Linked DNA regions of Chlamydomonas reinhardtii. The protein of the gene in region 1 binds, or shares a complex with, the protein of each later gene. Links are inferred from orthologs where the notes say so. Each region holds a gene or a part of one and is shown in the gene's direction. Other genes may lie near its edges.

Region 1 (3,646 bases):
CCCCTCCTCCTCCTCCCCTCCTCACCGGCCCAGCCCGAACGCCACGTCCGCCGCCACCGTGGGCATGACCACCTGGTGGTCGGGGTTCTGGAACACGAAGCCGCTGGGTTGGTCGGCGTCGATGAGGCCGCTGTCCGGCACCAGCAGCCCGCCCAGCACCTTGAGCAGCGTGCTCTTGCCGCAGCCGTTGGGGCCCAGCAGCATGTGTAGCGAGCCGCGCCGCACCTGCCCGGGCGAGGATTGGGTGCCGCTAATGCAGTGTTGCGGGCTGGCAAGGGAAGGTATTGGGTGCGGTAGGAATGGTCGGAGGAGCTACGGTGTGTGGCCGTGGTGATCTCTCGCGCCCTGACTAGGGAAAGACGACCAACCCGGCTGGCCGACTCCCCAGCCGCCGCATGGTCCGTACCTGCAGGTCCACGCCGTTGAGCACGGGCCGCTTGACGTCTCGTGAGCCCAGCTTTAGCCGCAGGTTATGCACGATGACGGAGTTCGGGCTGGAGGTGCGGCGCACGGCGGACTTCGTGAGGATGGCTGGGGGCACTGTGATGCCGCCGGCTGGACTGCTGGCGCGGCCGGAGTTGTTACTGCCGGTGCTGGTGGTGCCGGTGCTGCTGCTACTGGTGCTGGCGATGCAGCTAGTGCGGCTGCGATGGCAGGATGAACTATATGGCGCTGGGTCCAGTGCGAGGTGGGAGCTGCTAGTGGAAGGGGCGCTGTCGGCGGGGCAACGTGGGGTGTGCGGCGCCGCTGTTCGCCGCTCGCCCGACGCCACCCGGCTGAGTCCCAGCGCCCCCCTTAACCCCCCTGCAAGCATTGCTGCCAGCGCTTGACCTAATAGCAGCGGTGAAGACACAAGCAAAGGTTGGGTGCAATTTGGGACAACAGACCCACGCCTTGAGGGCGGGTATGAACAATTTGCAAGTGAGTGACAGTAACAAATTACATGGAAAGTCAATGCATACTAGGAAAGCCGCACGGATGCATGGAGCAGCGCAGGCGCGAAATGCAATCCTTCGCACACGCCTTCGTCCACCAGCCTGTTTGATTTTCTAAACTTTCAACTTCATTACATTTCAGTAACATAACCATGGCAGGAAAGGCCAAGGAGTCGGCGGTCGACCTCGCCAAGTTTATTGACAAGGGCGTTCGCGTCAAGCTTGCTGGTGGACGGGAAGGTGCGAGGAACACATATCGCCAACCCAGTAAGACGCTCGGTGCGCTCTCGCTCAACTTTCGACAACTTGCGCGCAGTGCAAGGGATCTTGAAGGGCTACGACCAGCTGCTGAACCTGGTGATCGATGAGGCTGTGGAGTACCTCCGAGGTAGGGCAGGACTGCCGTGGGTGCGACAGGTTCGGAGCCCGGGGACTACGCGGGGTGTCGGTACGCGGGCGTGACGCACACGCACCCACCCATCTGCTTGCCGCCGTCTCTCCCTTCGTGCGCAGACCCGGAAGACCCGCTCACGGTGACCGATGAGACCCGGTCACTAGGGCTGCTGGTGAGTACTTCGCCTTCGGCGTAGCAAGCGCAGGGGTGCAGACTATCGCCGTGAACTTGAGAGAGTGGCGTTTCCTTGACCCTGAGTTGCTGACCCGCCCTCCACGTGATGCAGGTGTGCCGCGGCACTGCAGTGATGCTGGTTGCGCCGTCCGCGGGCATGGAGGAGATTGCCAACCCCTTCCTCCAGGCGAAAGACGGCGAGCAGGCGGCAGAGGGCGACGATGAATAGATTAGGTGTTACATCTCTCTGGAGATACTGAAACTCAATCCCAACACTTCGACTTACGGACTTTGGTTAGGATAGGTAGAGTACAGACATGACTTCGTCCTGCTTCTTAGCGCCAAGCGCTTTCTGGAGACGTGCTAAGCACACACTGGTACTGCTTTCATAGGCCTTCCTGCGCACGCAGACGGTTCTAGACACTTGTTACCACTCTCTCATTTGGCCAACCCGACCGCAACTATCTAGGATCTCTCGCCACGGCGTCTACAATCTAGCCAGCACTGTCTCAGCGGACCTGAGCTACCCTAGGGCTCATCCGGCGGCGGAATGCGGAGCAACTACTGCCGCCGGACGTCCACTGTACACGACGACTGTCGCCGTGTGGACCGGCAGGGCCGTCGCTTGGAGCAGTGCTCGGGCCAACACAGCCCGCCACAGCAGCTCCAGCTTCGCCTTGACCCGTCTTCTGCCCCACCTCAGGGGCGGCGGAGGCGGGACTTTGTACTGCACCGCCGCTCTCTCGCGGCGGCCTCCTGGCGGCTCCGCACAGCCATGGGGTTTCCCGGTGTCATCAGTTGGCTCAGGACATGAGCGTCGAACCAGTTGGTCTAGCAGGTGGTGGTGGTGGTGGTCAGTCAGTATTATTCGTCCTCAGCCCAGCTTTCTAGCTTGTAGGTATCAGGCAAAGCCGGGCTGCTCAGCAGTCGTCGCCGTCGGCTGGGATGGGCAGCTGATCGCCGGGGCTGACCACGTCGAGCGTGCGCCGCGCGGCGCTCTGCCACTCCTCGCCGTCGTCATCGATGCGATGGCTGGCGGCGACGCTTCCCATCTTGGACGCAGGGCTGGCGTTGGAGTAGCGGCTGTGAGGGGGAGTCGAAGGGCGTGGGAAGGGGTCAATGACGGAACGTGGAGGAGCCGGATTTGGAGTGGGCACTGGCGCTCATGTTAAAGGCTCTCGTGTCCGGGCTGGCATGGCATTGCTTGGGTCAATGGTGGCCGAGTCACCCGAGTGCGCTGCAAGACGCGGGGCGCATGGTTGTCTCGCTTGGTGTGCATGGCTAAGACCAATGAAGGAAACAACGCTGCATAAGTATGGGCGAAAGTACTGATTACACACATGTACCGCAAGGCTGCTCAGTGCTCACCTGGTGGACATGCGCGGGGACTCGGCGGGCGACTCCGTGATGCGCAGCGATAGCGAGCCAGGTGTGGCGCCCATGCCGCTGGGGCCGTTGCGGGAGCCGGACACGTTGCTGGTGGCCCAGTTGGGCGACATGTGGTCGCTGCGGGTCCTGTGGGTTGCAGCAAGGACGGCCGTTGTGTATGGCGACAGGCGGATGTGGTTGAAAGGTTTGCCGCAGGAAAGGCGGCCGCGGCGCCTCAAGGCGCAAAGGACATTAATGCTGAGAGGTACTGTGTGGTCGCACGCCCACTGCTCTTACATGATGAGCGAGGAGCGGGCCGAGTCGGGCGGGTTGCGCGCGAAGCGGATGAGGCGCGTCACGTCCGCCATGGCGTGGTCCAGCCGCTCCGACTTGGTCTTCCAGTTCTCAATCTCGCGCTGCGCCGTGTCCAGCTGCTGCTTCACCGACTCGTGCTTCTGCGCTCACAACCAACCAATAGCCCGCAGCGGGTACAGCTACACTCAGCAAGACGCACAGTAAGGCAGGATCGCGCTGGCCGGCACACCCGTAGCCAGCTAGCCCTCCATAGCACATGCCACATCCACGCGCAGCCAATCCTCCCCAAACCACGCACCCCCGCCGCATGGCCCCAGCGCCGAGCGCCACATGCACGCACCTTGCTGAGCTCGTTGTAGCGGTCGCTCTGCTTGTTGAGGCGCTCAGTCATGCCGGCGATGGCCACCTGTTGCGAGGCCACCAGTTGCTCCTGATTGGCCTTGCTGCTGGACAGCTCGCG
Region 2 (3,370 bases), on another chromosome or scaffold:
GCATCCTTTTCACAGGCGCGCAAATCACCCGGACCGAACATGCGCGCAAACTGCTTCAGCACACCTTGGACAGCTGCTTTATGCTCTTGTACCGCTTGCAGACCTCAATCCACCGCAGCCACAGGCTCAGGTCGCTGCGGAACTTGCGCCCAGCGCGCTCGAAGATGAAGTGGATGCGCCGCACGATCGCCACCTCCGCCAGACCCTTCTTCCCTGCAGAGCACAGCACATGCGCCCCCTCAAGTCTGTTCGGCAGAGGAACTCCTGAAGCTCCCAAATAGTTGTCACCTAAGGCAACTTTAATACGCCCGCGGGCGTGGACGGTACTTTCGGACTGTGCGCGTGCCGAAACCCAGAACCCCGTGCAGAACCCCGCCTCCCCGCTTCTCGCACCTTTGATGTGCTTCTTCGCCTTCCGCGCCTGTCGCAGCTCCTCCAGCTTCATTTCGAAGTCGACGTACCTAATTTTATAACCAGATGCCAGCCAATTGGCGCCTATTCAAGGAAAGACCGGCGGCGCATGCACGGTCGGCGCTCACTCGAGACGCACCTGTAATAGTCCTCCTTGAGCGCCGCTCTCCGTTTTAGAAGGTACTCAAAGTTTTGTCGCTTCTGGACTATTTTCTTAACCTCCGCGCGCGTAAAATAGCCTTTTTGCTCTAGGTCCTCCAGCTCCGGAATCATTTGTTCCATTAGGTATTGTACCGTGTCCGCCATGGCTGCAAATTGTTCTTACACCAACGGGCGACTCAGCGCCAAAGACAGTTAGCCGGCGACAGGTTTTTCACGCGTTGCTTTGCCCGTCAGCTAAATCCAAAGGTTTTAAGAGTGTAGACACTGCTTAAACATTGAATCGTGGCGTTTGGAGAGGGTTTCGTGTCAGCTGGGATTGGGCTGCATCGGTGCTGCCTAAAATCCTCTCGCCCTTCGCTGTCCTTCAGGTGCATCCTATCTACTAGTCTCTCCACTGCCTCGTTCTGTATCTGTTAGCGGCCTGTCCTTTGCCGGTTCAGATTGCTGCGTTCAGCGCTGTGCTTTCGGAGCTCTAGATCATAGCACTGGTGTTGAAGCTTAAGTAGCAGTACCATGTTATTCTTCTCACTGTTCAAGACGTTGGTGGGCAAGGAGGTGCGCGCCATGCGGACTAGCCTAAGGACTCTGTGCACTGCGGCAGCGCTTGCCGCAGCAGGATAGCTGACTGGTGGCATTCTGGAACTGCTCAGGTGACGGTGGAGCTCAAGAATGACTTGTGTATTAGCGGCGCGCTGCACAGCGTGGACCAGTACCTGAACATTAAGCTCACCAACACGCGCGTGCACAACGAGCAGAAGTACCCGCACATGGTGAGGCTGGCGCAGTCGGGGGCGATCAACGTTGCCGGGGGAACCAAGTTGAGGTCAGGGGGAAAGGCGCTAGCGGCAGAGGCAGGGTGAGGTGGATGAGAACACGTGCTGGGTACTTCGGTTGGTGCGCGGCGTGGCGGGTAGCGACTCAGAAGCATGAATCAGCAGGGCCGAGCGCGGTTAAACTGGCAGCCACGACAGGTGATGGCGGCTGATGGCAGAGAGGGTATAGATGTCCACAGGTTGCCTTGGCGTCCTCTTGACAAGGCCGGGCGTAACAGCGTGGCGTAACAGTGACAGTCGGGGAATGTTGTGAACCGTATCTTGGGGCAGCACACTGGTACAGCGAGTCGGCCTGGAGGTCTTTTATGGTGGCCCCGGGGTGAGGCGTGGATGGAAGTTGGGGCCTTTATTATATTGATGCTGTTACAGCCGGGAATTCCTGGTGTAACACTCTGGGCTGGTGAGAGCCCATTGCGGGCATGCGGCGCTGGCAAATGATGTCGACTCCTTCACATTCAGTTGCTCCCTTTCCCCATCCTTGCAGATGTCTGTGCGCAACTGCTTCATTCGTGGCTCCGTCGTGCGTTACGTCCACGTGAGTGGGGTGGCATGACAAAGGAAACGTTGCACATCACGCGGCATGGTGCTGACGCTGTTGCTGCCCTGCTCATGAAAGCAAGTGGCCTAGCGTGCCGCACATTTGCACAAATGTTACAGAAGCATATGTGCTTGGCCATTAGGGCGCATTCACCACGCCTACCGCTTAGCACCTGGAGCGGGAATCACTCCACAATTCCACACACACAATCGTGTACGTGTTCCTAAGCTACCCACACACCCTGACTGCCTTGCTCTTACAGCTACCACCCGGGGCCGTGGACGTGGAGGTGCTTCACGACGCCACGCGGCGCGAGGCTCGCGGTGGTTAAAAACAAGTGCAGCTTTGTAACGTTGGATGCCGCTAGGGTGGCCTCGGGTTTAGGCCACAGCCACATGCTGTGTGCCTTATGCCCTAGGACATAATGACTTCTGACGGACTGACGCAAGTGGTGACAGGACTCAATAGTTGCCTGCGCGAGTGCCATTGTGGCACGCCCACAATATGACGGTACACAAGCAGTACTTAACGCGCGTTGCCGACGGCGCAAGCGCAGCTGGCGTTGAGGGAAGCTCATGCGTCAGCTTTCGGGGCGGCGGCTCCCCCGCCCCAGCTGGATTTGAGTAGGAGCTGGTTTTTGATATCTGTGTTGGCTCGTTGGAGCTCGGCCACTTCCCGCTTGAGTGATTGGATGCTGGCCTTGCACGTCTGGATTTCCTGCTCAGCGGCCTGGCAGCGCGCCTCGGCCTGTTAGGGTTGGTGACGCATGGCGACAGTGGTGCTCAGGAACGAGCAACGACATGAAAGCAGAAACCACCAGTCTAGAGGGGCGTGCACTTGCGGCTCCCGGTATTTTAGTAGTACCGTGCTGTGGAGCTGCATGCGCGGATGGGTGATGCGGTCGGAGTGTGATGCCCAGTATCTGGATGGGCAGTAACGAGGAAGATACGGTAGTGCCCAAGTTTGGGGCAGCGCGCCCTCACCTGTAAGGCCTTGCTCTCCTCCATGTTGAGCTGGTCCTGCAGTTCCTTGCGCACGGCGCTGGCGTCCTCCATGGCACGAGCGCGCGCCTGCTGCACCGCCGTGGCCTGCGTGTCCAGGCAAAGGGAGCGCAGCGTTGACCACGGAGCGGGTAGATCGCATTTGTTACAAGAGGGTTGTAAGGGTCGAAGAACGCCACTGGTCGCATCGCACGCAGGGGGCTCTGCAAGGCTGCAACAGCAAACACCGAAGGATGGAACCCAACTACGTCCTGTCAGCCAGCCACGCCACACCGCGCCACGCACCATGCGCTCGTCCACCACCGCCAGCTCCGCCTTCATGTGCACGTTATCATACAGTGACGCCAGCGCGTCGTCCAGCGCCACGTCGTACTCTTGCTTGATGCGCAGCAGCAGCGAGCGGTACGTTGTGAAGCTGTGCAGGA
Region 3 (3,744 bases), on another chromosome or scaffold:
GTTGTGGTTGGTTCAAGTGCCGCCAGCGTTGGGCCACCTGGGACGTAGTGTCAGCCTGGGGGTCGCGGTACTTTAGGGTACTTTGCAATTCTGGGGGCGGTCACAGACATGCGCCACGTGTAGGGTTTCCTCGCGCTGATGGGATGTGGTGCCTGGTGGCCACCCATCCTCGCGCGTGGGACGGGTCATTGTATGCTGCTTGTGGTACCTGACGTAAATGCTGCCCCGCCGCCCCCCGCCCCCGCCCTCCATCGCTGGAGGGCGACTGTGTCGCCCGACCTCTGGCTGGTTGTGCCTTTCTGCATGGTCCTGTGCGGAAGAGTGTTCTGGGTTGGACCCTTTTTTTCCTGGATTTTCAGGGCCTGGCGGCCGCGGCTGCGGCACAGGACCGGCAGCGGCGGAGGCAGCGGCCCTGCGCCCAGCAGTGGCGGCGTGCATGCGTGCAACATAGAGGGCAGGCAAGGCCACGCACGTGGAGGCGAGCGCGGCGCCGCCCGAGAAGCGGTGCCGGCGCGCAGGTTGAGATTGCCGGTGTCTGGTTTGCGGTCTTTGCTGGCGAACATAGCGTGGCACGGCGTGTGACGGGATTCATTACTGATTGGTTTTGTTGCCGGCTGTGCTTGTGCTTGACAGTGGGACGCGGCTGGACACATGGCGGGCGGTGCCTGTATAAACCGAGCCCGGCTTCGGGAAATTTGCTGAATGTGATGCGTCAAGCGTGCAGCGTGATGCATGTGAACAAACGTGTTGTCCCCCCAAGAGGCAATGCTGACTCTGAGCAGCATCCTCCCTGGAGCGATGGACGCCGTTCTCCGCGGCAGGTCGCTATTTGATGCGAGTGAGGGACTGAGGGGTTTGGTATCAGGCAGGGGGAAACGTGTTCAGCACGAGGGGCAGACACCTCCCTTGCTTGCCTGTACCGCAGGGGTGCTCTGCCGCTACCCTCGCTTACGAGCTGGCCACAGCGCACATCCCTTTCATTATGCGGGTGTGCAGCAGAAATTCATCCATGGGCAGGGCCGAAGGTCATCACGACATAATAGGCACGCCCAGGCGCGCCCTATGCCCCCCCCGACCTGCCCCGACCTGCCCCTCTGTGTGCCTGATGCAAGCACGGAAAGCAAATCCTCTGGAGACCGGCTGTGGCACCCCAAAGCTTTAAACACCCACAGTATATAAAACTGCGTTGTACAGCTTCTCTGAAACACAAAGCCAACTCGCGCGACTCAAAAATTGCTTGGCGACTGACTACATTAAACCAAGTCAAACCCCACACGTCCAGGCTCCTGGTAGCTTGTAAGGAATCATCTATTCCATCCTCACAAGACGCGCGTAGTGCTTGGGTTCGGGGCGCATCGTGCGCAGGATCTCGGGTGCTGCTCTCGGAGCCATGCTGCCCCTTTCGTTGCTAAAGACGGCTCAGCGCCATGGGGTGGTGAGTAATATCTGGACTCAGGACCTTGCCACCTGCGCGAGCTGCTGACCATGCGGGCCAACTTCGGTCCTTCTCGCAGCTTGTGGAGTTAAAAAATGGAGAGACGTACAACGGTTATCTCCAGCACTGCGACACATGGATGAACCTGCACCTGTCGGAGGTCATTTGCACGTCCAAGGTGGGTTTGCAGGGCTCCGGACGGCGGCCCCGGGGCAACCAGGCCACCCCGCGCCGCTGTGCGCCACGCCGCTGTGGACCCACAAGCTCCATATGGGCTTGTTACCGGCGGCAGGACCATTCTGGCGGCCTGGAGATCCAATGCAGCATAAGGGCGCCTGCACGCAGGCAGCGGGAGGGGCGGCGGAGAGTTGCGGTCGGAGGCGCAACGCCCGTGTGGAGCTTGCCGTATCCGGCTGAGTTCTATTGATACTGGCACATATGCGCGCGTACACAGGATGGGCAGCGGTTCTTTAAGATGCCCGAGGCCTACATCCGTGGCAACACCATCAAGTACATCAGCGTGCCCGAGGAGGTGAGGCGGGGTGGGTTGTCTTCACCACACCGTAAGCCTGCACTTGTGACGGTGTGCTAAGGGGCCGAGTTAAGGAGGGCAACTTGGGGGGATGATGGGGCGTGGGCTCGTGAACGTGGGCTTGAGGACAGGTGCACGTGTGCGCCGTGCAGTGGTGCCCTGCCGCAGATGGTGGCGCAACCGACTGCCGTATACCCGTGCTTTGCACTGGCCTGCTGTTAACCACCACTTGTATCCCGGCGGGTGTGGCAGGTGGTGGACAAGGTACAGGAGGAGAACTTGAGACGCGACGGTGAGGACCTGGGCAAAGGGGGACACGCTTTACAGGGAAGGGGCCCAAGGGGCAAGCGCTGGGCACTGGGTAGGGCGGGGTGGCGCGGGGCGGGGCGAGGCGGGGCGGGGCGGGGCGGCCCGGCGGGGTGTGGGGCCGGCGTGCCCTCCAGTACAGTCCAGTACAGGGCATGGTTCTCATGGTGCCACGGGGCAGTCTGCCTGCCGGCAGCTCCAGCTGTGGCTGCAGCACTTGTACCGCACCTGCACTGACTCGCCCACCATGTGTCGGTTGCGCTCACCTCAGAGAAGCGGCCCACAGTGGCCGGCCGCGGTCGTGGCGGCCGCAGCTGGTCGGGAGGCCGCGGCGAGGGCGGTGGGGGCCGCGGCGAGGGCGGCGGCCGTGGCCGTGGCGAGGCAGGACGCGGTGAGTTGGTTGTAGGGGTGCGGGCTGGTGCGAACTGCCATGGATCTGGATCAGCCATGTTATGGCATCAGGCACGTCTGGATGCAGCCGTGGCCTGGCGTGCCAGCCTGCGCGCCACCCCAAGGCGTTGGCCCACCTTCCTTTGCGGCAACACCTGCGCTCCCTGGGATTTGGCATGGCTCGTGTGTGTGGATACATGAGGACGCGGTGCTGGTGGTCTGGCTTAGGTGGCATACGCGCACTGCATCAAGAGCTGACCGCCCGGATACGGTGTGGTGCCGCAGGGCGTGGGCGCGGGCGCAGCTGAGCAGCGCGGCAGCGGACTGCTGTCCCGAAGGCCGTGGACGTGGTGGCGGACTCGGGCGGAAGCGAAGCGACTGCGGCGCCGGCGAGCCCGGCGCGGGGGCGGGCGTCAGCACGCGGGGCAGACAATGGAACGTGATTTGTTTGCATGGCTGCTTGCCGGCACCGGATTGTGAATGGTGATTGAGAGCTGAGGTGGTAGTAGCCAGCCTTGCTTGCCGCTATCCATGTGCGGTATGCATGTAAGTGCGGCGTGGGGCGGCCAGCTCCCTAATGATGGGGAGGTCGTGGGGGCGCCGCGGGCCAGCAGGGCATGTCTGGGGTCTGTGGCTCCGCCCACGCGGGCTGACTGGCTTGACTGGATTGTGGGGCCTGGATTGTGGGGAGGCTGTGGGTTGCCCAGCGCTGGCCGAGCAAACTGTACGTCGTTGCGGGGTGTTGTTATCGCACCGCGGTCACCGCTCTGGTGGACGCCCTGGCAAACGTAATGAAGAGCCAGATCGAAGTGTGTGGGCTACGTCTTAGATACAGAGGCATTGCGGCTGGTGCACGAGCGGGCTAGTCACGGCCAGTCACGCACGTAGGGCCGTAGGGGGCAACTTGGATAGTGAAGTTGCCCCTGCAGGTTGGCTTGGCCAGTGTGGGTCCTGGCCTTCTGGGCCCCACCCAAACGGGCATGTGTGTACATGTGCCCGCACAGCAGCGCCAGACAGCGCATTCCCTGTAACCACTCTAAGACGAAGGGCATTACATGAAGCATACAGCTGCATGTTTACG

What was found.
Region 2: CHLRE_03g164101v5 (region 1) and CHLRE_10g441950v5 share a complex: the UniProt entries of both Arabidopsis thaliana proteins name them as parts of the heptameric LSM1-LSM7 complex. The link is inferred for Chlamydomonas reinhardtii from reciprocal best matches to the Arabidopsis thaliana genes EMB2816 and LSM2.
Region 3: CHLRE_03g164101v5 (region 1) and CHLRE_06g251300v5 share a complex: the UniProt entries of both Arabidopsis thaliana proteins name them as parts of the heptameric LSM1-LSM7 complex. The link is inferred for Chlamydomonas reinhardtii from reciprocal best matches to the Arabidopsis thaliana genes EMB2816 and emb1644.

Annotation. Positions count from the first base shown.
Region 1 is NC_057006.1:3,033,942-3,037,587, reverse strand, and holds CHLRE_03g164101v5 (uncharacterized protein), read left to right. Parts: upstream 1-1,032; 5' UTR 1,033-1,087; coding exon 1,088-1,175; intron 1,176-1,251; coding exon 1,252-1,323; intron 1,324-1,448; coding exon 1,449-1,501; intron 1,502-1,615; coding exon 1,616-1,732; 3' UTR 1,733-2,867; coding exon of another isoform or gene 2,868-3,018; 3' UTR 3,019-3,128; downstream 3,129-3,646. Other genes in the region: CHLRE_03g164150v5 (uncharacterized protein), read right to left, coding at 26-225, 407-814; CHLRE_03g164050v5 (uncharacterized protein), read right to left, coding at 2,868-3,018, 3,169-3,326, 3,527-3,646. UniProt on the Arabidopsis thaliana protein: Component of LSM protein complexes, which are involved in RNA processing. Component of the cytoplasmic LSM1-LSM7 complex which is involved in mRNA degradation by promoting decapping and leading to accurate 5'-3' mRNA decay.
Region 2 is NC_057013.1:3,152,934-3,156,303, reverse strand, and holds CHLRE_10g441950v5 (uncharacterized protein), read left to right. Parts: upstream 1-948; 5' UTR 949-1,086; coding exon 1,087-1,128; intron 1,129-1,223; coding exon 1,224-1,343; intron 1,344-1,890; coding exon 1,891-1,941; intron 1,942-2,206; coding exon 2,207-2,275; 3' UTR 2,276-2,774; downstream 2,775-3,370. Other genes in the region: CHLRE_10g442000v5 (uncharacterized protein), read right to left, coding at 65-213, 394-461, 551-717; CHLRE_10g441900v5 (uncharacterized protein), read right to left, coding at 2,799-3,032, 3,231-3,370. UniProt on the Arabidopsis thaliana protein: Component of LSM protein complexes, which are involved in RNA processing. Component of the cytoplasmic LSM1-LSM7 complex which is involved in mRNA degradation by promoting decapping and leading to accurate 5'-3' mRNA decay.
Region 3 is NC_057009.1:320,257-324,000, reverse strand, and holds CHLRE_06g251300v5 (uncharacterized protein), read left to right. Parts: upstream 1-1,136; 5' UTR 1,137-1,390; coding exon 1,391-1,435; intron 1,436-1,514; coding exon 1,515-1,613; intron 1,614-1,889; coding exon 1,890-1,967; intron 1,968-2,219; coding exon 2,220-2,259; intron 2,260-2,544; coding exon 2,545-2,664; intron 2,665-2,948; coding exon 2,949-2,971; 3' UTR 2,972-3,706; downstream 3,707-3,744. UniProt on the Arabidopsis thaliana protein: Component of LSM protein complexes, which are involved in RNA processing. Component of the cytoplasmic LSM1-LSM7 complex which is involved in mRNA degradation by promoting decapping and leading to accurate 5'-3' mRNA decay.